Linked DNA regions of Callithrix jacchus. The protein of the gene in region 1 interacts with the protein of each later gene in a biochemical or structural test. Links are inferred from orthologs where the notes say so. Each region holds a gene or a part of one and is shown on either strand. Other genes may lie near its edges.

Evidence for each region.
Region 2: of the proteins of IKBKB (region 1) and TNFRSF1A, one has a biochemical effect on the other in vitro, tested with the Homo sapiens proteins (2 studies listed by BioGRID, with this or other methods). The link is inferred for Callithrix jacchus from reciprocal best matches to the Homo sapiens genes IKBKB and TNFRSF1A.
Region 3: of the proteins of IKBKB (region 1) and MAP3K14, one has a biochemical effect on the other in vitro, tested with the Homo sapiens proteins (3 studies listed by BioGRID and IntAct, with this or other methods). The link is inferred for Callithrix jacchus from reciprocal best matches to the Homo sapiens genes IKBKB and MAP3K14.
Region 4: of the proteins of IKBKB (region 1) and TRIM21, one has a biochemical effect on the other in vitro, tested with the Homo sapiens proteins (2 studies listed by BioGRID). The link is inferred for Callithrix jacchus from reciprocal best matches to the Homo sapiens genes IKBKB and TRIM21.
Region 5: of the proteins of IKBKB (region 1) and NFKBIB, one has a biochemical effect on the other in vitro, tested with the Homo sapiens proteins (2 studies listed by BioGRID). The link is inferred for Callithrix jacchus from reciprocal best matches to the Homo sapiens genes IKBKB and NFKBIB.
Region 6: of the proteins of IKBKB (region 1) and NFKBIA, one has a biochemical effect on the other in vitro, tested with the Homo sapiens proteins (58 studies listed by BioGRID and IntAct, with this or other methods). The link is inferred for Callithrix jacchus from reciprocal best matches to the Homo sapiens genes IKBKB and NFKBIA.
Region 7: of the proteins of IKBKB (region 1) and MAP3K1, one has a biochemical effect on the other in vitro, tested with the Homo sapiens proteins (3 studies listed by BioGRID and IntAct). The link is inferred for Callithrix jacchus from reciprocal best matches to the Homo sapiens genes IKBKB and MAP3K1.

What each region holds. Positions count from the first base shown.
Region 1 is NC_133514.1:44,086,796-44,090,295, forward strand, and holds part of IKBKB (inhibitor of nuclear factor kappa-B kinase subunit beta), read right to left. Parts: intron 2,439-3,500; exon of another isoform or gene 2,295-2,438; intron 1,423-2,294; coding exon 1,295-1,422; intron 1-1,294.
Region 2 is NC_133510.1:19,941,195-19,944,694, forward strand, and holds part of TNFRSF1A (tumor necrosis factor receptor superfamily member 1A), read right to left. Parts: intron 1,234-3,500; coding exon 1,080-1,233; intron 798-1,079; coding exon 669-797; intron 446-668; coding exon 296-445; intron 76-295; coding exon 1-75.
Region 3 is NC_133506.1:85,675,890-85,679,389, reverse strand, and holds part of MAP3K14 (mitogen-activated protein kinase kinase kinase 14), read left to right. Parts: intron 1-1,140; coding exon 1,141-1,210; intron 1,211-2,761; coding exon 2,762-2,972; intron 2,973-3,078; coding exon 3,079-3,500.
Region 4 is NC_133511.1:69,716,676-69,720,665, forward strand, and holds the start of TRIM21 (E3 ubiquitin-protein ligase TRIM21), read right to left. Parts: upstream 2,801-3,990; 5' UTR 2,731-2,800; intron 423-2,730; 5' UTR 346-422; intron 1-345. UniProt on the Homo sapiens protein: E3 ubiquitin-protein ligase whose activity is dependent on E2 enzymes, UBE2D1, UBE2D2, UBE2E1 and UBE2E2.
Region 5 is NC_133523.1:34,461,083-34,465,192, reverse strand, and holds the start of NFKBIB (NF-kappa-B inhibitor beta), read right to left. Parts: upstream 2,801-4,110; 5' UTR 2,708-2,800; coding exon 2,529-2,707; intron 907-2,528; coding exon 801-906; intron 719-800; coding exon 385-718; intron 1-384. Other genes in the region: SIRT2 (NAD-dependent protein deacetylase sirtuin-2), read left to right, coding at 3,221-3,236. UniProt on the Homo sapiens protein: Inhibits NF-kappa-B by complexing with and trapping it in the cytoplasm.
Region 6 is NC_133509.1:69,916,368-69,920,389, reverse strand, and holds the start of NFKBIA (NF-kappa-B inhibitor alpha), read left to right. Parts: upstream 1-1,222; 5' UTR 1,223-1,331; coding exon 1,332-1,546; intron 1,547-2,154; coding exon 2,155-2,263; intron 2,264-2,593; coding exon 2,594-2,804; intron 2,805-3,101; coding exon 3,102-3,190; intron 3,191-3,297; coding exon 3,298-3,558; intron 3,559-3,907; coding exon 3,908-3,955; 3' UTR 3,956-4,022. UniProt on the Homo sapiens protein: Inhibits the activity of dimeric NF-kappa-B/REL complexes by trapping REL (RELA/p65 and NFKB1/p50) dimers in the cytoplasm by masking their nuclear localization signals.
Region 7 is NC_133503.1:153,003,104-153,006,603, reverse strand, and holds part of MAP3K1 (mitogen-activated protein kinase kinase kinase 1), read left to right. Parts: intron 1-502; coding exon 503-584; intron 585-693; coding exon 694-877; intron 878-2,849; coding exon 2,850-3,128; intron 3,129-3,500. UniProt on the Homo sapiens protein: Component of a protein kinase signal transduction cascade. Activates the ERK and JNK kinase pathways by phosphorylation of MAP2K1 and MAP2K4. May phosphorylate the MAPK8/JNK1 kinase.

The DNA.
Region 1 (3,500 bases):
AAAGCAAGTTCTGGGATTTGATTTCCTTTAATCTATCTCTCCTCTTTTCTATAATAAAAAAAATGCATGTTTCCTCTTAGGACTAGGCCACAGTGAGAAAGAACAGCATGTAATAAAACATCCATCTTTTTCTAATCTCAGCTACGCTGTGGGGAGATGAGAGACATCCTGTATACCTAGGTCCACCTTTCTAGAGTTTTGAGGATATCACTGAAGGGAATAAGCCACATAAGGGAAGACAGTGCCCCAGAACTCCTCTCACTCTGCAAAATGCGACAATCTGATGGCAGGAGCCATTTTTGCCAAGCCTCGGGGCCTCTAGCTAGGCTAAAGGCTCAGTGCCGGCCCAGAGGGCAATAGAAGAGGCTCCTGGCCTAGCTGCTATCCTCCAGGAGCTCATAAGATGTTGGGGAAATAATTTTTATTTAAAAAAAAAAAGGCTGGGCGCAGTGGCTCACGCCTGTAATCCCAGCACTTTGGGAGTCTGAGGCGGGTGGATCACGAGGTCAGGAGATCAAGACCATTCTGGCTAACATGGTGAAACCCTGTCTCTACTAAAAATACAAAAAAATCTGCTGGGCGCACTGGCTCATGCCTGTAATCCCAGCACTTTGGGAGGCAGAGGATCACAGGGTCAAGAGATTGAGACCATCCTGGCCAACATGGTGAAACCCCATCTCTACTAAAAAAATACAAATATTAGCCAGGCGTGGTGGCATGCCTCTGTGGTCCCAGCTACTGAGGAGGCTGAGGTAGAAGAATCGCTTGAACCCAGGAGGCAGAGGTTGCAGTGATCCGAGACTGTGCCACTGCACTCCAACCTCGCGACAGAGCAAGACTGTCTCAAAAAACAACCAAAACAAAAAACAAAAAAATCAGCCGGGTGTGGTGGCACAAACCTGTAGTCCCAGCTACTCAGGAGGCTGAGGCAGGAGAATTGCTTAAACCCAGGAGGCGAAGGTTGCAGTGACCAAAATTGCACTGCACTCTAGCCTGGGTGACAGAGCGAGACTCCGTCTCAAAAAAAAAAAATAGAGAGACAGGGTCTCACTACATTGCCCAGGCTTGCCTCGAACTCCTGTGAACCTCCTGCCTCAGCCTCCCAAAGTGCTGGGATTACAAGTGTGAGCAAAACTTGTATCACTTTTGTCCCCACAGGACCTAGCAGATGCAACAAACACCCAGAGAAGTGGTAAAATCATCGGACAGACATTCACCAGTGATGAATGCTTCCACCCCCAATCTCCTGACGTGCCCCTGATGGTCATGCTTAGCACTCCTAAGGAGGACCTACCTCTTCTTGGCTGTCTCGGGTAAGCTGTCAGAGGTCGTGGAAGGCTGAGACATCAGCTGCCCAGGCTGGCTAAGTCGAGAGGCATTCATGCTATCAGGGCTTCCACTGACGGGACCACGGACCTTGCTCTAGGGGACAAAATCAAAAGAAATTAGGAGCCAAGTAATGAATCACACTTTGCATTCACGCCACAGTATTTTCTCAGGAGACAACTGGCTGCCAGACGCCAGAGCTATCCCTAGAGCCCACCAGTCAGCTCCCCTACCCGAGGGTCGGCTGGTGCTTTGCATCTGGCTTCAAAAATGTTTCTGTATCAAAAGGGGGATGTTTGAAGAAAGGATTCTAAATTTAGGAGACCGGAGTGCCTACATTTATTTACAGGGTTTTTTCTTTTTTAAAAAAATCAGCTTTATTCCTTTATTTATTTATTTATTGAGAGTCTCACTCTGTCACCCAGGCTGGAGTGCAGTGGCATGATCTTGGCTCACTGCGACCCCCGCCTCCTGAGTTCAAGCAATTCTCCTGCCTCAGCCTCTTTCGTATTTTCAGTAGAGATGGTTTTTCACCATATTTGCCAGGTTGGTCTCAAACTCCTGACCTCAGGTGACCCACTAGCCTCAGCCTCCCAAAGTTCTGGGATTCGTGATCCATGGTGCCCAACCCCTTAATGAACTTTTACAAGAAAAGAACGGGGAAGTATTTTTACTCTTTTCCAGGTAGAAGACAGACACACACAAAAAGGCTATGGGAGTTCCTGTGGCTCTCATCCTATATGATCTGGCTGAGAAGAAGCCAGGACACCCTGACTCCCAGGGGGCTGTAGCCACTGCCCCTCCCAGCTTGAAGGATCAAGCAGCGGCTCCCGCTCCAGCTACCTGAGCCTCCTCAGCTCATAGCCCATGACCACCCGCCAACCTTCAGGTCACCCATCTGCTGATCTCTGCCCCGCATGGTCCTCACCCCACCCATGTGACCTCCCTCCCCCGCCCCTGGCACTCACTGTGGCCTGCAGTCCTTCATCCTCTCACGTTTCCCTCAGGCCATGGAACTCTCCTGGCTCCACATCCTCCCCTCCAGCAAAACCTCAAGGCCCACACATCAAGGAGCCATGCAAGTGCCCAAGCCGTCCTCCTGCTGACTGTGCCTGGGGAAAGGCCCAGCATTGGTCTCCTGTGCTTTTGCCCTGGACCACAAATGCAGCAGGAAATGGTGCCTGCGCTGCCTGGCTCCCTCCTGGCCAGGACCTGCCCCAGCTCCTGCCCCATCCTGTCCTGTGCTGCACAGGGACGGCTCAACTCCAACCCTGAGAGCAGCCCTTCTCAGTGTTGAGGTTGGCCAGGGGCTCAGATTCTCCAGCTGCCTGGAGAGGGACTTCCCCAAATCCCAGATGTGATCACATCCCCACACTCGAGTTCCTTTAATATCAAAGGAAAAGACAGATCCTGCCATGTCCTGTGTGCTTTGAAAACAAACATGGGCTGGGCGCTGTGGCTCATGCCTATAATCCCAGCAATTTGGGAGGCCAGGGCAGGCAGACTTCTTGAGGGCAGGAGTTTGAGACCATCCTGGCCAACATGGTAAAACCCCATCTCCACTAAAAATACAAAAATTAGCTGGGTGTGGTGGCATGAGCCTATAGTCCTAGCTATTTGGGAGGCCGAGACAGGAGAATCACTTGAACCCAGGAGGTGGAGGTTGCAGTGAACTGAGATTGTGCAGCTGCATTCCACCTGGGAGATGGAGCAAGACTTTGTCTCAAAAAAGGAAGAAAACGTTATACAAAAATTAGCTGGGTGTGTTGGTGGGCACCTGTAATCCCAGCTACTTGGGAAGCTAAGGCAGGAGAACCACTTGAACACAGGAGGCGGAGGTTGCAGGGAGCTGAGATCGTGCCACTGCACTCCAGTCTGCATGACAAAACAAAGCATGGCCCTCATAAGCTTGCCCTTGTCTTCTTCAGCAGCTTCATTCTCCATCGCAGCCTCCCCCCACACACCAGCCTGTCCCCACTTAGAACACACGGATTCCCCAGGCTCTCTGCCTTTGATAAAGCAACATCTCTGTCCTGGAACATCCTCACTCTTCAACTGGACAGCTCCTTATGAACTTTCTTATTGTTCCCTCTTTTCTAAGAAAAGCTGGAGCTCCCCCTGCACACAGAAACTGCAGCTCATGCCTCCTGGAGCTGCTTGCCAGCCCTTCCCAC
Region 2 (3,500 bases), on another chromosome or scaffold:
TACAGGAGACACACTTGTTTTCACATAGAAAGAACCCTGCATGACAGTTGCACACGGTGTTCTGTTTCTCCTGGCCTGTGGGGAGAAGTGCCGCACAGCTAAGGAGGAGCGCCTTGCACCCCCACCCCACAGGACAGAGGAAGTGATGAGGGACAGGGTGGGGCGGCTGGCCCAGAGGAGTTGGTTGTCAGACCCACAGACTAGGGAGGGGAAGAAAAGGAAGTGCCCGCGGCATGGGGAAGGGGTCAGCCCCTGGGGTGGGGACAGGGCTTGGGATCGGGAGAGCTGCACTCACAAGGGATATGTATGGTGCCATTGAGGCAGAGGCTGCAGTTGACACATTGGAAAAAGTTTTCATTAAAATAATGCCGGTACTGGTTCTTCCCACAGCCACACTCCGTGTCCCGGTCCACGGTGCAGGGAGAGATCTCCACCTGGCCCACTTCTGGTGTCGGGAGGAGATGGGGTATGAGTCCTGCAGCCCCTTCCTGACACGCCGCTACGTGTGTGTCTGTCTCTTAACACACAGTCACACCCATGCAGTGTCCCACTGACACACGTGCCCACACCCACCTGCCCTCACGCAGGCGGGTGCCCACACCCACCTGCCCTCACGCAGGCACACGCCGCTGAAGACCCGCCTGACTCTCCAGCCTGTGCACACTTACCCTCTCGGCATTTGGAGCAGCTGAGGCAGTGTCTGAGGTGGTTCTCTGAAGCGGTGAAAGAGCCGCTCTCGCACTCCCTGCAGTCCGTGTCCTGCCCTGGGCCTGGACAGTCGTTGTACAAGTAGGTTCCTGTGAACGAGGCAGCAGAGTTAGGCTGCGGGTGAGAGCTCAGGGAAGGAGCCATGCAAGGGACAACAGCAGAACCCTTCCTGCTGGGAACTCACTCTCTCAAGTTCCTTCCAGCACCACCCGCTGTAGTTCTCATCGCTCCACCCTGAAGTCTCTAGGAGAGGAGGGAGGGAGAAAATCCCAGCCCAGGAGAGGAAGCAAAGTTAGGGAAGAACAGCTGAGAGAAGCAGAAGCAGCAGCGCCCCAGACCTGAGGACGTTCACCGTTTCCACTTTCTCCTACCTTTGTGGCACTTGGTACAGCAAACAGAATTATTTTGAGGGTGGATATATTTTCCTTGGGGACACGCACTGTCTCTCTTCTCCTTGTCCCCGAGGTGAGGGACCAGTCCAATAACCCCTGAGGGGTATATTCCCACCAACAGCACCAGGAGCACCTGGGGAAGAATCAGATAGAGGAGACACCATCAGGAGAGGGAGGGAGGGAAGCTTACGGGCAACGGATCTAAAACGTCCCCAGCTCAAGTCCTTCCTCCATGAAACATTCCCCCCAGGCCACCCCCTCACAAAGCTGAGAGTTCTTCCTGGAAACTTAGACAGTTGGGGCCATATAATCTGAAGCTTCATTTTTCTCTAGTTGTCCTGTGTGCTCATTTGTGTTCCCTCAATTCGAAGCTAGTAGGCCCCAGAGCTAAGCTGTATTTTTTTTTTTTTTTTTTTTTTTGAGACAGGATCTTGTTCTGTTGCTCAGGCTGGAGTGCAGTGATGCAATCACTGCAGCCTCCACCACCCACGCTCAAGCGGTCCTCCCACCTTAGCCTCCTGAGTAGCTGGGACTACAGGCGTGCACAACCATGCCCAGCTAATTTTTTTTTTTTTTTTTTTTAGTAGTGTCAACTCCTTCTACCAGTTCAACAAGTCTCCAACAGCTAAACCCGTTCAAAAAATCCTGGTCTCAAAATCCTGGGCTCAAGTGATCCTCCCACCTTGGCCTCCCGCAGTGCTAGGATTACAGCACTGCATTTTATCCTCACTGTGAAATCCCCGACAGCCTCTAACAGTGCTGGACACCGGGCAGATGTTGAAGGTTGTGTTTTTGATTGGGAATTGGCAGGTTACTTCAGGGCTTGTTGGCCCTTTCTTCCAACAAGCAGCCCTGAAGACTGGGGCAGTGTTTCTCCATCTGGGTGCTGGGTTCACAGTGGGATCACTTTGTGAACATTCACAGGGGTAATCAGTGAGGATCTGTGCACATCCCGGGAGCATGTCACACCATGAAAAGCTTTCTGAAAAGTCGGCTGCTGGTGGGGGCGAGCAGTGTTCCTGTGAGCACCACTCCTGGGGAGTGGGCAGAAGCAGAAGGAAGTTTATTTACCCGTTTGTATCAAACCTTATTTGGCCTCCTGCCCTCACATTCCCTGGCCCATCCCCTCCACCTCATAATCTACACAAACACCCAGGGTTGGCAAGGACAAATGGGGAGGGGAGTCAAAGGGAAAGGTTGTGGGCCCTGGATGGGTGGATGGGAGACGAGTTGAGATGGGGACAGGAGTGGGCAAAGGTGTACAGGTCACAGGCAAATATTGCTGGCGAAGGCTGGTGACCCAGCTTGGATGAGGGTCAGGTCAGAGCTGAGGGCGTGCTGGGGGGTCCCGGAGGCCCCTGCACGCCATGGCATTCTGGAAGGTATGCTTTACAGCCTCAGGCCAATCCCGCAGCAGCTAAACGGCTTGCCCTGTTCTGGCATCAGAGCCAGGAAAGCAAAGCCAGGAGTGAATATTTAGCTCCAGCCTGGGACTTTGATCTCTGCCAGTTTCATTTCTGGTTTTCCCTGGGCTTCCACTTTTTTTCTCTGCTATAAGAGTCACTTTATGTAAAGATAAGAGGGTGTCCTCAACGTCTGTTAAACACTGGGGAGCAACAGACTCACCAGGTCACAGAAACCCCAGGCCAGGGAAGAAGGGCCAGGCAACCCGCAGCTGCCCAGCCTCTCCAGCTCCACATTTCTGAGTAGGAGGCCAGTCGCACCCTGAGTCAGCCACTGGGAGACGCTGCAGCTGCAGCTGCAGCTGCACAGGCCCGGAAGCCCAAGCCTCAGCCGCAAACATGTGAAGCCAAACAGAACAAACACAGCGGAGCCCCAGCCCTGGCGGGCGGAGGTGTGCGCCCCCTCTCAGAGGACAGCAACCTTTCCCAGCCCACACCAGCCAACACCGTGCCACCTCCCCTGAAATAGGACTGGGGCATCCAGGGCAACAGGAAGGGCTTGGGGTGGTGATGGGAAGAACTTCCCAATCCTGAAAGTGTGGTTCCTTTCCCCGAAGAAGACATTGGGGCATCTAAGGTCACTGGCATTTTGGATCCCATCCCGGCCGCTTGAGGCAGAGTCAACAGGCAGAGACAGAGTCAGGATGAAGAACTGGGGGACGCCAGTCCCAGACAGCCTTGAAGGAAGCTTTACAGGGACCTCTGGCGAGTGGGGGATGAACCTCCCTGGAGGGAGGAAGAGAGGGAGAGAGGCTTTCTCAGGTCACGTGTTCCTTTTTCATTCCAGTACTCTGGGGGTTAAGTCAGATCCGGGAAAGGGAAATCTTTTCCCAGCAACTCCGCCCCAGTGACTCAGGCCAGAGGGAGGGAGATCTAAGGAGGGGGAGAGGGAACTAGCAGCTTCCCCAGCTCCTCAGGGTCGTGAGTCAGCAGAAAG
Region 3 (3,500 bases), on another chromosome or scaffold:
AGGAAAGGCCAGGTCTCCTGGAAAGCCCCGCTGGGGCCTGTAGGCCCTTCACCACCTTCTACCTAGAGGCGGCCCCACCCCCAGTAATAAGCATCATGCTCTTGAGCCTGCTGGGCCAGTCCTGGGGCAGGCAGCCATGGCAGGGTGAGGCCTGATCTGGTCCTTTCTGCTTCTACTCATGATGCCTCATGATGACTAGTAATGGTGGTTTCCCTTGGAGACAGAAACTCCGAGGAGGGCTGGGTAGGGCCAGGAGTCCTCTCAACACCTTCCCTCAACCCAGGAAGCTTCTTGAGTTGGAACCTGGAGAGCTAGACTGCCGTGCAGGCATTTCTCCACACGTGCACATCCTGCCCGCGTCTCCCACTTTCTCCTGGTTGTTTTTTTAGGAGAGATGAGAGAATAAAAACTAAAATGCAGTGAGTGACATATTAATTTTTTTTTGGAGGCGGAGTCTCACTCTGGAGTGCAGTGGCGTGGTCTCGGCTCACTGCAACCTCTGCCTCCCGGGTTCAAGCAATTCTCCTGCCTCAGCCTCCCAAGTAGCTGGGATTACAGGCATGTGCCACCACACTCAGCTAATCTTTTGTAATTTTAGTAGAGACAGGGTTTCACCATGTTAGCCAGGATGGTCTCGATCTCCTGACCTCATGATCTGCATGCCTCAGCCTCCCAAAGTGCTGGGATTACAGGTGTGAGCCATGATGCACAGCCATAATAATTTTTTTAAAAAACATACACATACATAATCCACACTTATATGTACATACAAATATAAATACATAATAGCTGGTATTTATCGAGCCGTTTTCCTATGCGCCAGCCACTGTGTTGAGCATTTTCTGTAGATCATCTTACTTCACTTTAAAGGAAGTGAGTTAGGCTCCCTACGATCCCCATGCTATAGGCATGGCTATTTCAGAGCAGGTGGCTGGGGCCATGGTCTGCTCTTGACCACTAAGCTGGGAAGCAGGGGAAACAGTGCAGGAAGGAGGCATTGGTGGGGAGGGGACTGCCAGACAGGGTTGTCTGCAAAGGAGGGGAAGGAGTGCGCTAGAAGGGATCTCTGAGACAGCACTCCCCTAAGTGCTGAATTCCTGTTCTTTCTCCTCTCTGCTAATGGAACTCCTTTTCCTTTAGGCGAGAATAGCCAAGAGTTCAGCCCCACATTTTCAGAACGCATTTTCATCGCTGGGTCCAAACAGTACAGGTAAGGAAGCGGGAGAGCAGCCTGAGTGGGAAGGCGGGGTCCCAGCGTCCTTGTCCCCAGGGCTTGCCTGGGCCAATCCTGCTGACCCTGGGCTCCCCCCCTCAGCACCTGTGCTTCAGCTCCTGGAACTCGCCCAGGCTTTCCTGGCTGAGCCGCTCTCTCAGCCAAATAAGCTTTTCAAAGGCTTTTCACAGCTTGTGGCTGACTGCCTCTGGGCCACATCAACTTGACATTTTATTTTTGTTCTCCTCAGAGTCCTTAATGCACCCCCTCGTTTCCCATCAACAGGGAGGGTGCTGGGAACTGGAGCTGCTTCCCCCTCCTGCGTGGCTGTCAGTGCAGGGCAGGGGGCCCTTCCACTGTCCTCTATGGGAGAAACCTGCTGGCACCTCTTCTCCTGGGAAATACACCGAGTAGGGATGCGGGTGGTGGAAAAGGAGGGGGCAGACCGACTTGGTGGCCTCATGGAAAGGAAGCCAGGGTGGCCTCATGGAAAGGAAGTCTTCCCAGGCTCCGCATTCCCCCACAGACGATTTTTTGGAGCACGAGTTTGAGTTAGAAACAGTTCCCTCCCCATCACCAGGCGGGTTTTTGTATCATTGGAGTTTGGAACCTGGTAGTGATAAGACTGTGGGGAGGGCAGCTGCCTTGGAACAAGGAATGCTCAGCGTTTGGTGGGATTCCTTCCGCTGTCCTGGGTGCCTTTTGGCCCAGGGTAGGAGCCTCTGAAAGACACACTTCTTTCAGCTGTCTGAGAGAAGCCTGTAGGCCTCCACTGGTCCCTGGCACTGCTGTGAGTCTGCCTCTGTGGGGGCAGAAGATGAGGCCAAGGGAGGTGGCTGAAGCCATGGTCTGCTCCACAGCTGTTCTGTAGCAATCCTTCTGTTGCCAGGCCCTTTAATACCTGGCAGGGATCCCAGTCCAGTTAGAGCCATGGTAGTGATGAGCCCCAAGGCCAGCAGAGAAGAGTAGCCTCCCCGGTACCAGGCAGCAGCCCAGGCTGTCACCTCCCACAGCAGCCAGGGACCCCCAGGAACTAAGAGAATGGAGGTGACCAGCCTCACCTGTTCCTCCGTCCGGAGGCAACAGAAACAAGCTGTCTCAGTCCAAGCTGAGAGTGCCTGCCATGAGCGTGGCCCCCTTTTGGGAACTCCCCAGGGGCAGCTCACCTTGGAGAGCAGTGAGCAAGCCATATCTGCTCCTCTACTCTCCCCAAGAAGTGCGGAGCCTGCGCCCCATCACCATGGTAACTAGCACGGCTTCTTGGCAGCTTGCTTTGGGGGCAGACACTGAGCTAGGCTTTTTAAGTGAATTAAATTATTGAAGCCTCATCTCCACCCTGCATGGCAGAAAATACCAAACCCATTTTATAAGTGAGGTAAGTGAGAAAACTGAGGCTCCTTGGGGTTTAGAAACTTTGCCACGTTCACACAAGGAATGGCAAGCTGGGATTTGGCCTTGGGTCTTCAGGAGCCCAGACACAGCTATCTGTACCATTCTGTCTTCCTGCTTCCTCGTGCTCAACATGCAGATCTGTCCCTTTTTTGACAGCCAGTCTGAGAGTCTTGATCAGATCCCCAACAATGTGGCCCATGCTACAGAGGGCAAAACGGCCCATGTGTGTTGGAAGGGAAAGCGTCGCAGCAAAGCCCGGAAGAAACGGAAGAAGAAGAGCTCAAAGTCCCTGGCTCATGCAGGAGTGGCCTTGGCCAAACCCCTCCCCAGGACCCCTGAGCAGGAGAGCTGCACTGTCCCAGTGCAGGTGAGACCCTCCGCCGACTGCCCAGACCCTGGGCTCATGCAGCCTCAGAAATGGAGCTGTGCCTTGGGCCTGGCCCTGTGTGCTGACAGCTGTGTTTCCCCTGCAGGAGGATGAGTCTCCACTCGGTACCCCATATGTTAGAAACACCCCACAGTTCACCAAGCCTCTGAAGGAACCAGGCCTTGGCCAACTCTGTTTCAAGCAGCTTGGCGAGGGCCTACGGCCAGCTCTGCCTCGATCGGAACTCTACAAACTGATCAGCCCCCTGCAGTGTCTGAACCACGTGTGGAAACTGCACCACCCCCAGGACAGAGGCCCCGTGCCCCCAACCACACACCCCTTCCCCTATAGCAGACCACCCCATCCCTTCCCATTCCACCCTCTCCAGCCCTGGAAACCTCACACCCTAGAGTCCTTCCTGGGCAAACTGGCCTGTGTAGACAGCCAGCAACCCTTGCCTGGCCCACACCTGAGCAAACCGGCCTGTGTAGACAGCCAGAAGCCCCTGCCTGGCCCATACCTGAGCAA
Region 4 (3,990 bases), on another chromosome or scaffold:
CCACAAGCATAGGCAACCGAAGCAAAATTGGACAAATAGGATCACATCAAATTGAAAACCTGCTGCACAGCAAAGAAAATAATCCACAAAGTGAAGAGACAACCCACAGAATGGGAGTAAATATTTGCAAACTATCCATTTGACAAGGGATTAATAATCAGAATATGTAAGGAGCTCAAACAACTCTATAGGAAAAAAATGTAATAATCTGGTTCAAAAATGGACAAAAGATCTGAATAGACATTTCTCAAAAGACATACAAATGACAAACAGGCATATGAACAGTTGCTCAACATCACTGATTATCAGTAAAATGCAAATCAAAACTACAATGAGATATCTCACCTCAGTTAAAATGTCTTTTATCCAACAGGCTATAACAAATGCTGGTGAGGGTGTGGAGAAAAGGGAACCCTCATAAGCTGTTGGTGGAAATGTAAATTAGTACGATCACTACAGAGAACAGTTTGGAGGTTCTTCAAAAAACTGAAAATAGAGTTACCATATGATCCAGCAATCCCACTGCTAGGTATATACCCCTAAGAAAGGAAATCACTGTATCAAAGTGATATCTGCACACTCATGTTTATTGCAGTATGTTTCACAATAGCCAAGATTTGGTGGCAACCTAAGTGTCCATCAACAGATACATAGATAAATAAAATGTGGTACATATACAAAATGGAGTACTATTCAGCCATAAAATATGAGATCCTGTCATTTACAACAACATGAATGGAACTGGAGGTCACTACATTAAGTGGAATAAGCCAGGCACAGAAAGACAAACATTGTATGTTCTCATTTGTAGGCGCTAAAAATCAAAACAATTGAACTCATGGAGTTAGATAATAGAAAGATGGTTACCAGAGGCTGGGAAGAATAGTAGGGAGGATGTGTTGGGGGAAAAGTAGGATGGTTAATGGGTACAAAAATGGAGTGAATTAGATCTAGTATTTGATAGCATAACAGGTGGCGATAGTCAATAATTTAATTGTACATTTGAAAGAGTATAATTGCATAGTTTATCACAGATGATCAATGCTTAAGGTGCTAGATGCCCCATTTATCCTGATGTGGTTATTACACATTGTATACTTATATCAAAATATTCCATGTAGCCTATAAATATACCTACTATGTGCCCAGAAAAATTAAAACTAGAGAAAGAAAAACAAAATGATGCAAAGGAAAATAAAAAAATAAAAATGGTGGCTCTGTATACCTGTATCAAAATGTTCCATGTAGCCCATAAATATACCTACTACATGCCCAGAAAAATTAAAACTAAAAAAAGAAAAACAAAATGATGAAACGGAAAATAAAAAAATAAAAATGGTGGCTCACGCCTGTAATCCCAGCACTCTGGGAGGTCGAGGTGGGTGGATCACCTGAGGTCAGGAGTTTGAGACCAGCCTGACCAACATGGTGAAACTCTGTCTCTACTAAAAATACAAAAAATAGTTGGGAGTGGTAGTGGGTGCCTGTAATCCCAGCTACTCAGGAGGCTGAGGCAGGAGAATTGCTTGAACCTGGGAGGTGGAGGTTGCAGTGAGCTGAGTTGGTGCCACTGCACTCCAGCACAGGCAACAGAGGGAGACTCCATCTCCAAAAAAAAAAAAAAAAGGGCATAATATTAATGGAAAAATAATTAATGGCAAAAACAGTATTACTTTTGCATGGACCAAATAGTTTGTTTAATAAGTTTATTCTTCTGAATAACAAGAACTCCTCCACTGTTTGGCCCATTGATCCACTGGGACAGAAGGAGAAACTGAGTCCCTAAAGGAGGGAGTGAAAATTGGCAAGAACCTCATAAAGCTGACAGTTCTCTCATGTCCATTCCTGCTTAAACCCTCAGTGCCCATTCATCTTCTTTCTGGTACCAGCAGGCCTCCATGTTGCTGAGAAACTAGTCATAAAATAGCTACTTTTAACCATGTACCTTCCATGTGCCAGAGATACTACACATGCTTTGAATACATCTTCATTAATCATTCCAATATTGGCAAAAGTCAGGTGTATATGTATGTACATGAGCATGTATATGTGAATGTATTCACACAGAGCAACAGGAACTGTGGCCAGCACTCCCTGGGCTCTTCTTTCAGCTGCTCCAAACTTAGTTTAGTTCCTGACATCACTTCTTCTATGACAAAGAGTAATTTTGAAGGCCTATACATTTCTGGTTGAACATCCTAAGCAGCCTGCCCCTCACCTCTGGAGGACTTTTGGACCTGGGAGTCTCCAGGATTGCAGATCTCCCCCACGCTCCTGGCTAGGCAGTAGTGCTGGCTCTCTCAGCTGCACCCAGCTCTCATCCCAGCTCAGGTGCCAGCAATGGGGCAGCCAGGCCCCTTCTCTTTCTGGGTAACTCCATAGTCACGTCCACACCCCAGCCTCCTCCCAAGTAGGGGGCAGCCGGAACCCTTCCCCTTCTGGGTAACTCCGCAGTCACGTCCCACACCCCAGTCTCCTCCCAAGTGCCCGGAACCCTACCCCTTCTGGGTAACTCCGCAGCAGTCATGTCCATACCCCAGCCTCCTTCCAGGTTAGGAGACCAGCCTCGGAAGCACAGAGGGGCTTGGATTGAGGGATCCCCGGTGGGAGAAGGGGCAAATGGGACCGGCTCAAGGATGGAGACTGGTTGGAAGGGGCTCTGCAGCCCTGGGGCAGGGGAGAGGTCCACTAGGAGGGCAGGGGTTCCTTGATTTAGTGAGGTTCACTCACCTTTACAGGGGACTCAACGCGGGTAGCCAGCTCCCTATTTCACTTTCAGTTTCCGCTCAGAGGCAAGTCTGACGGGAAAGGGGAGGGAGGAGGAGCCGTGAGAGGAGAGAGGGAGGAGCCGTGGGAGGAGCGGAGCCTTGAAAGGGTGTGTGGAGAAATGCCGCTGAGAAGGAAGAGAGGTGGGAGGAGAGAAGTCAGAGTTGGGCTGGCGGGGGGCTTCAGAGGCTCTGGACAGCCAGGGGGCTTCTATGAGACTGGGAAGTAATGGAAGCCCAGTAGCCTGTGGTCCTGGGTGCGCACCCCCTCCCATGTCTTCATTATCTGATTTAGTAAAATATCTGCAAGATGGGGGAGTCCGGGCTGCTTTCTTTGACACTGGTTATCACCCCACACCTAGATGCTTTGCCCATGTCTGGAAGCTGCTTTTAAGGAGGGTTGGATGCAGAGAATAGTGGCTGGTGCTCTCCCTCACGTGCCGTCATCTGTTTCTTACTTCCAGAAGCTAATTCTTTTCATGTGACTGATGTGACTATTATTTTTTTAACATCTGCAGGTGAGTGATTTATTTCGCATGACCCCGAGGTAAGTATCCCACCAGTGAGTGGTGAGAAGGGAATTGACATCTGATAACCAACTATGTTCTTATCACCGAGCTAGGGACATTCTCAGGTTATATTAATTTTTAATCGTTAAATACACAGAATATAAAATTTACCCAAGTAATTTTGTTTTAAATTTTAAATTTTCTGTGTCTGTGGTAGATGTATGTATTTATGGGCTACATGAGATATTTTGATGCACAGGTATAGCATACGGTCTGTAATAATCACATCAGGGTAAGTGGGGGTATCCATCACCTCAAGAATTTATCACTTCTTTGTGTTACAAACAATCCAATTATATGTTTTTTAATTATTTTAAAATGTATGATAAATTGTCTGTAGTCACCCTGTTATGCTATAAAATACTAGATCTTATTCATTCTATCTCATGTATTTTGAACCCATTAATCACCCCCCTACACACTCCTGGCTACCCTTCCCAGCTTTTGGTAACCATCATTCTGCTATCTTCATGAGTTCAATTGTTCTAATTTTTAGCTCCACTTATTAGTGAGAATGTACAATTGGTTGTTTGCCTGTGTTTGGTTTATTTTATTTAACATAATGACCCCTATTTTTCATCCATGTTGTAGCAAATGAAAGGTTCTCCTTTTTATGGCTAATCAGTACTCCATTGTGTATGTGTACCACACTTTCC
Region 5 (4,110 bases), on another chromosome or scaffold:
CTGGGAACCTGGGGTGCCAGAGTTTCCCAGAGGGCCTGAGCTCTGCATTCCCTGGTCCTAGGTGGGGTAGGGATACCAGCTTGAATACACCCTGCAGGTGGGGAGCCCAAGGGCCCAGCAACTGGATCCTGGCAGCTCTGGGTCTATGAGTGCCAGGTCTGCGTCCCAAGTGATCTGGGGCCTCCAAGTGGGAATCCTGGGTCTTACATATCCAATTGTCAATCATCTGGGCCCTGAGTGGAGGTCCCTGGTCCCGATGCCTGGGTTCCTGAAGCCTAGGCGTGATTTCCCAAGGAGTTCGGTCTGGAATCAGGGAAGAGAGCCCAGGGCCAGGTGCTCTCACCTAGCCTGGGAGCTCAGTCCTTCCCTGGTGGCGACCCTCACCCTCATAGTTTTCAGCCTCCAGCTGTAGCTTCCACTCCTCCTCACTCTCCTCTTCTTCCTTCTCCAAGTCAGAATCGGGGTACAAGGTGACAGGGGTATGGTTGGTGTCGGGATTGTGGTCTGGGCCATGAGCGAGGTAGGTGTCCGGGGCTTCCCTGGGCCGCCGAGGGCGGGGCTGAAGCAGGGCACGGGCACAGGCAAGTGCCCCCACACGGCAGGCCAGGTGTAGCGCCGTGTGGCCCCCACGCTCTGCCACGCACAGCCCAGCGCCTGCTGCATACAGCTTCTCCACCGTGGATGCCTCCCCCAGGATGGCTGCCAGGTGCAGGGCCGTCTGCAGAAGCAGAGGACAGGCAGTAGGGAGTCACACTGGGAACCCCAGACCCCAACCCCTACTCCATCCCCTCGTGGCTCACCTGGCCTAGGTCATTCTGCAGGTCCATGTACTCAGTGCCGGCTGAGAAGCCTAGAAGAAAATCCAGGAAGGGTTCGTGCTGATGAATCACAGCCAAATGCAGTGCCCTGGGGACAAAGACTGGGGTCAGAGGGCAAAATTCAAGTCCTCTTGCATTCCTTCATTCAACAAACATGGGGTGGCTACTGTATGCTAGGCTTTGGGACCACAGTTCTGGAACCCACTGTCAGCTATCTGGGAGGGTCAGAGAGGTCAGAGTTTCATCAGCAAATTTGTGGAACCAACAATGTTTATTCAGTGGGATTTCCACTTCTGCCCAAAATGAAGTAACATGGACCAGACTTCCCTCCCACAAGAAACAAAGAAAAATCAGACGCAATACGGTATATGAAGCAACAGTGTTGAAGACGCTGGACGTCATGCAATGAATCACAGTGGCCCCCGAAAGACAGGAAACATGAGGTGGGCCCTACACTTGACTGCCACAGCTTATGGTCTTGAGAGCCACGGTTGAGAGAGGGGACCCCAAGCAGAGCCCATCAGGTTGTCTGAGGTCAGGAGATGGACATGGAGGAAGAGTCTGTAGAGACCAGGCTTGCAAGAGTCACAGGACAGAGTTGTTGGCCAGGCGCAGTAGCTCACACTTTGGAGTGAGCTAAGAATCAAAGACCAATTGAAAACTAAAATAAAATTAATGAAACCAAATTAATTAACAAAAATTAATAAACCTAAAGCTGGTTCTTTGGTAAGATCAGTATTTATTAACTGCTTCCTGGGACAGGCACTGCCTGCATCACTGGGCATAGGGCAGTAAACACAACAGACAAAAAAACCCAGTACAGTCCCTCATCTGGGCCTTTGCAATTGCAGTTCCTTCTGCCTGAAATGCTCTTATCTTGTTTATCTATTGCCTCATTTTCCTGCTTTATTTTTCTCCAAAGTACTGACAACCTGTGACTTTCTTTCCTTCTCTTACTTTCTGTGTCTTTCTTTCTGCATGTCTTTGTTTCTTTCTGTCTTTCTGTTTCTTTCCTTCCTTGCTGTCTTATCAATCTGTTTAGCCCCACTAAAATAAAACGTCTCCTTCACAAGGGCTTTAGTTTTTTGTCTGTTTTCTTCACTGCCTTTATCACTAGCACCTAAAACGAAGCCTGGAATGTGGTAATATGTAAAGAATATTTGTTCAACAGATGAATCCTTGGTTTCATGGAGCTTACATTCTTTTTTCTTTTTCTATTTTTCTACTTCAATTAGGAATTCAACATAGGAGAACTTACATTCTCACTCTTTTAAGACTTGAAGAACACTGCTCAGAAAACAAGATCTTAGAGTCAGGGACCAAGTATTAATTTCGGAAATCAGTCTAAGGCTCACATCAGGAACTAAGAATCAAAGATTATATTTGGAGGTTCGAAGTCAGGAGAAGCCACAGTTCTAACAAAAGCCTCAGGACTGGAGTCGGGTTTGGGTATCCGTGGACAGAATGTGGATTCCAGGAGCTGAGAATCATAGTTCAAGAAAGGAAGGTCTGAAATGATTGGGTTAGCATCACAGCTGGATAGAAGATTGGTTTTGTTAAAAGTTAGGACTCAGGGGTTACAGGTCAGGAAGTTCAGCATCGGAAATCAGATTTAGGAGTAGGAGGTTAGGAAGCCTCAGGGATCAGAAACTAATGGGGAATCAGACGCCGGGTCCTAGGGCTCCGTTTGGCAACCTAAGGTTCACTCACGTGTCCCCATCCTCAGTGACGTAGCCGAAGACAAGGGGCGCCCACGACAGCCCCGGGCCCAGCTCTGCGACCAAGCCCGGTCCTCCGGGGGCCGCTGCGTCCGGACCCAGGGAGCCCAGGCCGCTGTCGCACCATTCATCTGCGTCGGCAGCTTTTCCCAAGCACGCGACCCCAGCCATGGCCCCCGCCACCTCAGGGGCCCCCCGCAGTCGCTTGCCTGGAGCTGGGCTTTGCCGGCAGTTCTGGCGCTTCCGCCCTGCGGGAAATTCCCCACCACGCCCCCTAATTCATCCAATGATAATATGCTGAATCGCTCGCGCCCTACCCTGGTACCATATCGTGACCAATCAGAGTATTTGGGAGGACTACGACTCACTAGCCGTTTTTACATTTTCCGGGCGCCCTTTACCAACATGGCTGCTGACGCCGCGCCTTCTGGGACTCGAAGTCCGGCCCTAGCGCGCTTTCTTACCTAAGTCTGGGGCGCTCTGGCTGTCGTACGAAAGCGCGGCTTCTGCCGCAATGGCTACTGGGAGTTGTAGTTCTAAGCCCTATCCCGGCCACTCCCATTTCTGGTGCCGTCACGGGACAGAGCAGTCGGTGACAGGACAGAGCAGTCGGTGACGGGACACAGTGGTTGGTGACGGGACAGAGCGATCGGTGACAGCCACGAGGGCTTCAGCACCGTGCCCATGGCAGAGCCAGACCGTGAGTCGGGGACCCGGGTGGGAGGGTCGGGCCGCGCCGGGGCCTAGCTGAAGGCTGCAGGCCCCGGGGCCCGAGGGCGGCCGCTGCGGGGCGGGAAGTAGGGAGCGCTTCGGATAGTGGGATTCTGAGGGTTGTTGCTAAGCGATCTGTATCGCTAGGCTGGTGGGTTTCTGGGTCGCAGGTTGTTCGGGGTTGGTTTATCACATCCGCTTGCCAAGTTGCCAATAATGGCGTGTTTTTCGTATCTTGGTTGCTGAGGACCCTCGCTGCAAAGAACCTAAGTTGCCGCGGTCCCTGTTGCTAAGGGTACCTAATTGTTAGAGGCAACCGGAGGATGCTGAGGGACCCCTGTTGTCCCCTCCTATGGCTTCCCTTCGTATCCGCGCCTCTCCCAAACCTACCGCCTCCACTGCACCACTGCACCTCCCTCCCAGACCTGCCTCCCAGCCGAAGCGTCCCCTCCCTTCTCCCTTCCTTTCTAAACTTCCCTCTGCCTTGTAAACCTAACCCTCCCGCACACACACTCACACTGCTGCGTCCTTCCTAACTCCTCCTGAGTGTTCCTTCATGCCCTGAATCCCCTAGGCAGGAGGAAGGAGGATCGCTTGAGCCCAGGAGTTTGAGGCTGCAGTGAGCTATGATCGCACCATTGCACTCCAGCCTGGGTGACATGAGCCAGGCCCTTTCTCTAAAAAGTAAAAGACAAAGAAAGTCAGGGCCAGACACAATGGCTCATGCCTGTAATCCCAGTACTTTGGGAGGCCAAGGTGGTTGGATCGATTGAGCCCAGGAGTTCAAGACCAGCCTGGGCAAAAGCCCCTACTTCTCCCTGTCCTCCTAAATCTTCCTCCCCAGCCTCTCTGCCCCTCACTAA
Region 6 (4,022 bases), on another chromosome or scaffold:
TGAGCCCAAACCCCTTTCTACCTGGGTGGCATGAATGAGTCCAACTGCTACCGTCCCCCCGGACAATGGAGCAAGGAGGGGCGGGCAGGACCAGACTGCCTTCAGCCTCCCGCAGGATGCCTGGCAACTAGTTTCTTAGTGGTCCTTACGGTCCAAGCGCGGTTTAAGGTACTAACTAAACTCATTCTTCAGTCTCCTTCTCCAAGTGTTCCTGGAGAATTGCTCAGTTTGCACCCAGAAGTAGGCTCAGGATCCATTCTCTGCAGCAGCACAATGTAGGTCAGAGAGCATGAACAAAATCGCTACTTAGGAACACAATAGTTATTTTGTTATTGCAAAGTATCCACAACCACTACTACAAAGATTAGCACCTAGCTTTACTTAGGGGGAAGAAAATCCTGGTCCTATTTAGCAGTTTCCCCCGTACAGGGAGAGTTCACCCCTCCCCCAGTCAACAGAGCTCTTCTTCCATAGGAACTTATTTGAGAGTTCTCCAAGGATTTAGGTTTTCACTCCAAAGCTTTCACAACTTCTATCTGGCGGGGTGTGCGGGGGTGGGGGTGGGGGTGGGGGTGGGGGTGGGGGTGGGGGTGGGGGTGGGGGTGGGGGTGGGGGTGGAGAAGCTAAGCGTCCCGGTGCTGCAAAGAGCCTGGTATTGGTAGAAACACGTCGGCGGCCTGCAGCCTTCTAATCACAGTGCGTCCTTCCCCTTAGAGAGAAGTCTGCGGAAAGCAAATCCCTACACCCAGCCATCATTTCCACTCTTGCGTTTTCAAAAGATCAAAAAACGGAAAAGACCGGCAGGTTGGCAAACCCCAAAGAAGGACTGCCCATCAGGTCGGCGTCCTTGGGATCTCAGCAGCCGACGACCCCAATTCAAAGCGATCGTGGGAAACCCCAGGGAAAAATGGTTAACTTGCAGAGGGACAGGATTACAGGGTGCAGGCTGCAGGGAAGTACCGGGGGCAGGGGGCCTGGTAGGAAGGACTTTCCAGCCACTCGGCGCTCATCAAAAAGTTCCCTGTCCGTGACCCCAGTGCCTCATCGCAGGGAGTTTCTCCGATGAACCCCAGCTCAGGGTTTAGGCTTCTTTTTCCCCCTAGCAGAGGACGAAGCCAGTTCTCTTTTCTGGTCTGACTGGCTTGGAAATTCCCCGCGCCTGACCCCGCCCCAGAGAAATCCCCAGCCAGCGTTTATAAGGGCGTTGGGGCGGCGCTGCAGAGCCCACAGCAGCCCGCGCCGCCGTACCGTTCGCCAGCGCTCCAGCGAGGAAGCAGCGCGCAGCCCGCGGCCCAGCGCACCCGCAGCAGCACCCACAGCTCGCCCGAGCAATGTTCCAGGCAGCCGAGTGGGCCATGGAGGGCCTCCGCGATGGGCTGAAGAAGGAGCGGCTGCTGGACGACCGCCACGACAGCGGCCTGGACTCTATGAAGGACGAGGAGTACGAGCAGATGGTCAAGGAGCTGCGGGAGATCCGCCTAGAGCCGCAGGAGGCGCAGCACGGCGCCGAGCCCTGGAAGCAGCAGCTCACCGAGGACGGGGACTCGTAAGTGGCGCGGGCCAGGGGTCGTTGGGAGGACCGGACGCGCGCAGGCGGGGCTTGGGGGGTGCTGGGCCTGCAGCCCGAGCCCGGGGACCAGCGCTGCAGCCGGGCCAGCACCGCGGCGCCCCGGGGCTCCTGCACGGCGCCGAACGCTGCAGGGCCGCAGGGCCGCGCGGGACTCCGGCTGGACTAGGAGGGGCAGAGGCTCGGCTCTGGTGGACCGCAGCGTCGCCACACGCCCCCTCCCCCCCATCCGTCCTCTAGGCCGGGGGCGGGGCGGCGGTGGGGACGCGAAGTCCCCGGTTGCATAAGGCGGGGCGGGAGTTTCTGGCCGCTGGCGGGCGCCTTGCAGCCGGGAGGGGAAGTACAGGGCGTTCCGAGCCGGCGGGAGGGCGGGGCGGTCTGGCCGGCGCCCGCCGAGGCCTGAAGGAGGGGGGCGGAAAGTCCCTGGGCGCCTGCCAGGAACACTCAGCTCATAATAACCTCGCGGAAAACACCGCGGCCTCGGCCTCCAGAAACCCCGGCCTTGCGCAATCCCCCGCAGCCCGCGCCTCCCTGGGCCCCACGCGGTGCACTCACCACCCCTGGGGGTTTTTCCCTCTTCCCCACAGGTTCCTGCACTTGGCCATCATCCATGAAGAAAAGGCACTTACCATGGAAGTAATCCGCCAGGTGAAGGGAGACGTGGCCTTCCTCAACTTCCAGAACAACCTGCAGCAGGTGCGCACGTGCCTGGCCCGGGCTTTCTTTGACCCTGGGACAGAGCTGATGTAGCAGAGTCACCCCAGATCCTTTCTGAATTAAGGGCCACTGGGCATTATTCACCCCTGCCGTTTACTTCGCATCAGCCCCCATCCTAGAGAGGGAAGGAAATTCTATGGATTTGGTGAGGTCTTTATGACCCACCTGGAGCCTCTGCTATTTGCCAGCCCTCCCCACCCTCCCACCTGGGAGGAGCAGCACCCAACCAGGAGACATTGGGGATCCGGGGAACTCGGGGTGTGGGTTTGATTCATGGCTTACTCTCTCTGGTTTCTCTTGCACTGGTAGACTCCACTACACTTGGCTGTGATCACCAACCAGCCAGAAATTGCTGAGGCACTTCTGGGAGCTGGCTGTGATCCTGAGCTCCGAGACTTTCGAGGAAATACCCCCCTACACCTTGCCTGTGAGCAGGGCTGCCTGGCCAGCGTGGGAGTCCTGACTCAGGCCTGCACCACCCCACACCTCCACTCCATCCTGAAAGCTACCAACTACAATGGTATGTCTGCCTTCCTGCCCTGCCCCACCCCCTCAGAGGGCAGGTGACATGCAGAAAGGGCACGTGGGCCAACTTAGGGAGTCCAGGAAAGAGCTTAAACTCCCAACCTGTGAAAGATCGAGAAAAGATGTGTGCAATATGCCTATTGGATACATTTTAAAAGTCCCTTCAGAACCCAGACTGGGGTTCTTAAAATTCAGAAGACATGACTGTTTGTCCCATAAAAGAATAGGTGAAAGGTGCTGCTTTAGGAGGGTTGAAACAAATGGTTATGCTTTTTTCCTTTTGTTCTTCCAGGCCACACGTGTCTGCACTTAGCTTCTATCCATGGCTACCTGGGCATCGTGGAGCTTTTGGTATCCTTGGGTGCTGATGTCAATGCTCAGGTGAGTGCTTCCTGCCTCCCATGTTCTGAGTCAAGCTCCTCGTGCTTGTGTTGCAAGCAGAAATTCCAAACGCAGCCATAGGCATCTCAAATTCCTTTTGGTTTCAGGAGCCCTGTAATGGCCGGACTGCCCTTCACCTCGCAGTGGACCTGCAGAATCCTGACTTGGTGTCGCTCCTGCTGAAGTGTGGGGCTGATGTCAACAGAGTTACCTACCAGGGCTACTCCCCTTACCAGCTTACCTGGGGTCGCCCAAGCACCCGGATACAGCAGCAGCTGGGCCAGCTGACACTAGAAAACCTTCAGATGCTGCCAGAGAGTGAGGATGAGGAGAGCTATGACACAGAGTCAGAATTCACGGAGGATGAGGTGAGTCTGAACTGCTTCAGTATTCTGTGAAATTAATGGCGGGGGGGCTTTCCCTTCACCCTCCCAGTCCCCTAGAGCTGCTCTTCATTAGAGGAATGTCCATGTAATGAATCTCTCAAATTTCTGTGTATAACCAGTATCCCAAGAATGTGCCTTTTTTTTTTTTTAATAGCGCACTGTTTTTTTTAAAAGAGAAGCATTAAAGGCAAACTCCCTCAACCTGTAAAGTTCACTATATTTGGGCTACGGAGAATGGAGTCCAAGTGTTATTTCCAGTAGCAGCTTCCCCATCCCAATAGCTTGGCAGAGCTCCAGAAGTTTAACGTTCTTTTTTTCCCTTTGTTTTCAGCTCCCCTATGATGACTGTGTGTTTGCAGGCCAGCGTCTGACATTATGAGCACAAAGGGTCTGAAAGAACGTGGACTTGTATATTTGTACAAAAAGAGAGTTTTATTTTTCTTAAA
Region 7 (3,500 bases), on another chromosome or scaffold:
AGGGGAGATTGGTGAGATAATTTTTAAAAAGTGTATCTAAGTATGTGAAAAGTTTTCCACAAATGGGAATGTAGGATCTTCAGGAGATGGGCGGTGTGAGCAAAGAAATGCAGTAAGTGTGGTATCTGTGATAATGGGAGAAGTGCACAGAATTAGAAACAGTTTCAATCTGGAAGGTATACATGAAGGGAAGGAGATGAAAGAAGACCTGGGCAGGCATTACAGAAAGGCTAGCATCACAGTAGGGTTTGGAAGGACTTTATCTGGTAGGGGAGAATGTTTTGAAAAATAGTAAGCAGAGTGTGTTATCAGAACAAATAAAATAATATTTGCATATCAAAATGATTTGGCCTGCTGTGTTTACTTGCTTTCAGTAACTAATCAGATTATTTTTGAGGTTCCTTCTATATAAATCCTATAGTAATTATTATAAATAATTATGACATATAAATAATGTTAAGCGTTTATGTTTTTGTAAGATTTTGTTTGTGTAATTTTTCAGGGGCAGAAGAGTGTAGAAGAAATAGAGAACCTTTAATATGTCCCCTTTGTAGATCTAAGTGGAGATCTCATGATTTCTACAGGTAATAATTTTGAAATAATGATATGTCGGTTTAATTTTTAAAAAATTCTCAAAGTGTGGTTCAAGTCTGTTAATTTTTTTAAAGCAAATTTTGTTATATTTCATTTTAGCCATGAGTTGTCAAGTCCTGTGGATTCCCCTTCTTCCCTCAGAGCTGCACAGCAGCAAACTATACAGCAGCAGCCTTTGGCTGGATCACAGAGAAGGAATCAAGAGAGCAATTTTAACCTTACTCATTATGGAACTCAGCAAATCCCTCCTGCTTACAAAGATTTAGCTGAGCCATGGATTCAGGTAAGTAGTTATTTTTCATTTCTCAAAGAAATATTTGTAGATCAATTAATGTGTTTGTCCCTTTCCCTCAGTTGTTTATAATTTAAGAAGATACTTTTGTTTGCTCTATCATGACCCCTATTCTGTTGGAAATTTTAATGTTATTTTTAGTATTAATACTATGCTGCTTATTGTAGAGCTTCAACTTCAAAACGTCTTTATGGTTCCACTTCACTTATCTAGAAACATCTCTTCCTGAACTAACAGACATACAGGGTTATTCAAGGATAGAAGAATGGAAACCAGAACCCTTCAATTCTAACTTTTCCCAATGTTTAATCCCCATTCCTGCCAAGAATTTGTATATTTATTTGCTACCATTTAAAATCAGTTACTCCTTTCCATATCATAATGTTATAAATAATTGCTGAGCAGATGAATAAGAAAAAAAGTGGTGTTTACCTTGATTTCATCATTTTTATTTGTGAGAACAGTTTCCATTCCTTTACCATCTCTTTTGACTGGTCCTCAGTAAGTAGGGCTTTTTTGTCAGTTGGTTTGTAATGATATTCTTGGTTATGGAATGCTTAGTCTATTATTTTTTAAATGTAGGATCTAAAACCAGACAGGTCTCCAGTAGACAATAGTGAAGTAAAATAATTATTTTCAATAATCTGTTAAATTCCATTGAATACTATTAAATTTATGAACAGATGCATTAACACATTGAGCTTATATATCGTTAGATTTGTTTCCTTTCTCTTTTGTGACCATTACAGTCCTGCATCTTTGGAATTCTCTTAGCATATTAGCAACCCATTTATGAATCTTAATAAAATCTGCAAAAATATTAAACACATATTCTTGTATCTAGTTCACTAATGAAATTTAGTGAACTGTTAATAGGCCCTCACCTGCCCATTCATGACCCATCAAAGAACTCTCAAGTTGATTCTGAGCTATTAGATGCCTTTCTTTCAAGGATATGGTCTAGTTTGTTTCGCTTAAGCTTTAGATTGGACTAGGCTCTATATTCCTAGCTTTTTATTAAGCATATTAGGAAAGACAGATTTAAAACACAGGTAGTGGTACACTACTTAACAGTACCAGAAACTCACTGTATTCTAGTTGGTTCATTCTCCCATAATATCCCTTTATAACAAAACACATGTAAATAAGTATGTCATGATCTGTTTTTCCAAAAATTGCGTTTATTCATTTTTAATATTTAGACATTTTTCACATGATGAATTATCTTATGTATTAAGCTTACTTTTAGCTTTGGCTCATAATGTCAAGACCATTCACCCTTTCTTACTATAGGGATTCTGTGGCTTTTAGGGCATGGTATTGACAACTATAACAGTATATACCATAATTCGAGGTCTACCATTATACTTTGCTTACTCCAACACAAGCATTTTTTTCTTCAGTTGTTTGATTTGTTCACTTCATTCATTACAGTCCTACCTGTTTTGTCTAACTTTTTAAACCTTTTTGTACAGACAAAAACCGATTAAATGCTTTTTGCTTATTACTGTTGTCTGTAAAGGAAATACTCTGTATCTCTTGAAACCTTCTCCTTGTACCTTTCTTGTTTTTTTTTTTTCTTAATCTTGCTCCAGTTTTTCTCTTTAAATACTTTAATATGAATATAAAGTTGAGATTTTCACAGTTTTGGGGGTTTTTGATAAACATGGGGGATGATACAGGCATAGAATGTATGTATAACCATCCAGTGACTTGATGGAATTTTTTATTAATTTTACCTGAACTAATAAGTATTAAAGACTTTGGATAATTACCAGTTAAACTTGAGTATAAAATTCTTCCTTTATGATGTTTAAGTGGCTGGACATATTTGAAATTGTGTAGTATGGTAAATATTTAAGAAATGTCCAGTTTTTATATAGTAATCCAAAATGATGCTTAACTCGAAACTGCATGCATAAACTTTTCTTTACATTGAATTCACTGCGTGTGTTTGATACAGGTGTTTGGAATGGAACTCGTTGGCTGCTTATTTTCTAGAAACTGGAATGTGAGAGAGATGGCCCTCAGGCGTCTTTCCCATGATGTCAGTGGGGCCCTGCTGTTGGCAAATGGGGAGAGCACTGGAAACTCTGGGGGCAGCAGTGGAAGCAGCCCGAGTGGGGGAGCCACCAGTGGGTCTTCCCAGACCAGTATCTCAGGAGATGTGGTGGAGGCGTGCTGCAACGTTCTGTCAATGGTCTGTGCCGACCCTGTCTACAAAGTGTACGTTGCTGCTTTAGTAAGTAGCTTTACTGTATAATCATATCATTATGGGTTTGGGGTTTTTTGATGGTTAGTAGATAGTGTTTTTAAGATACAGTAAAACTACTTTACCTACTTTGGGGAAATCCAGATTTTATTTTTATTCCATAATCCCAGGAAATTACAGTTTTTCTTCTATTCTGTTTATTTGAATGTTGCTGATTTCATTATATTCAGGGTTTCCAGTTTTTCTTTTTTAGTTTTAATGTTTTAAAAACTTTGAAGGGGTATCCGAGGGAGAGAATACAGTCATGGTTTCTTAGTTTCTGTTTCTGGTCGGACCAGTAAACCTCCTTCCTCATCCTTCTTTTCCGCTTATCACTAGAAACAGAAACTAAAAGCCATGACT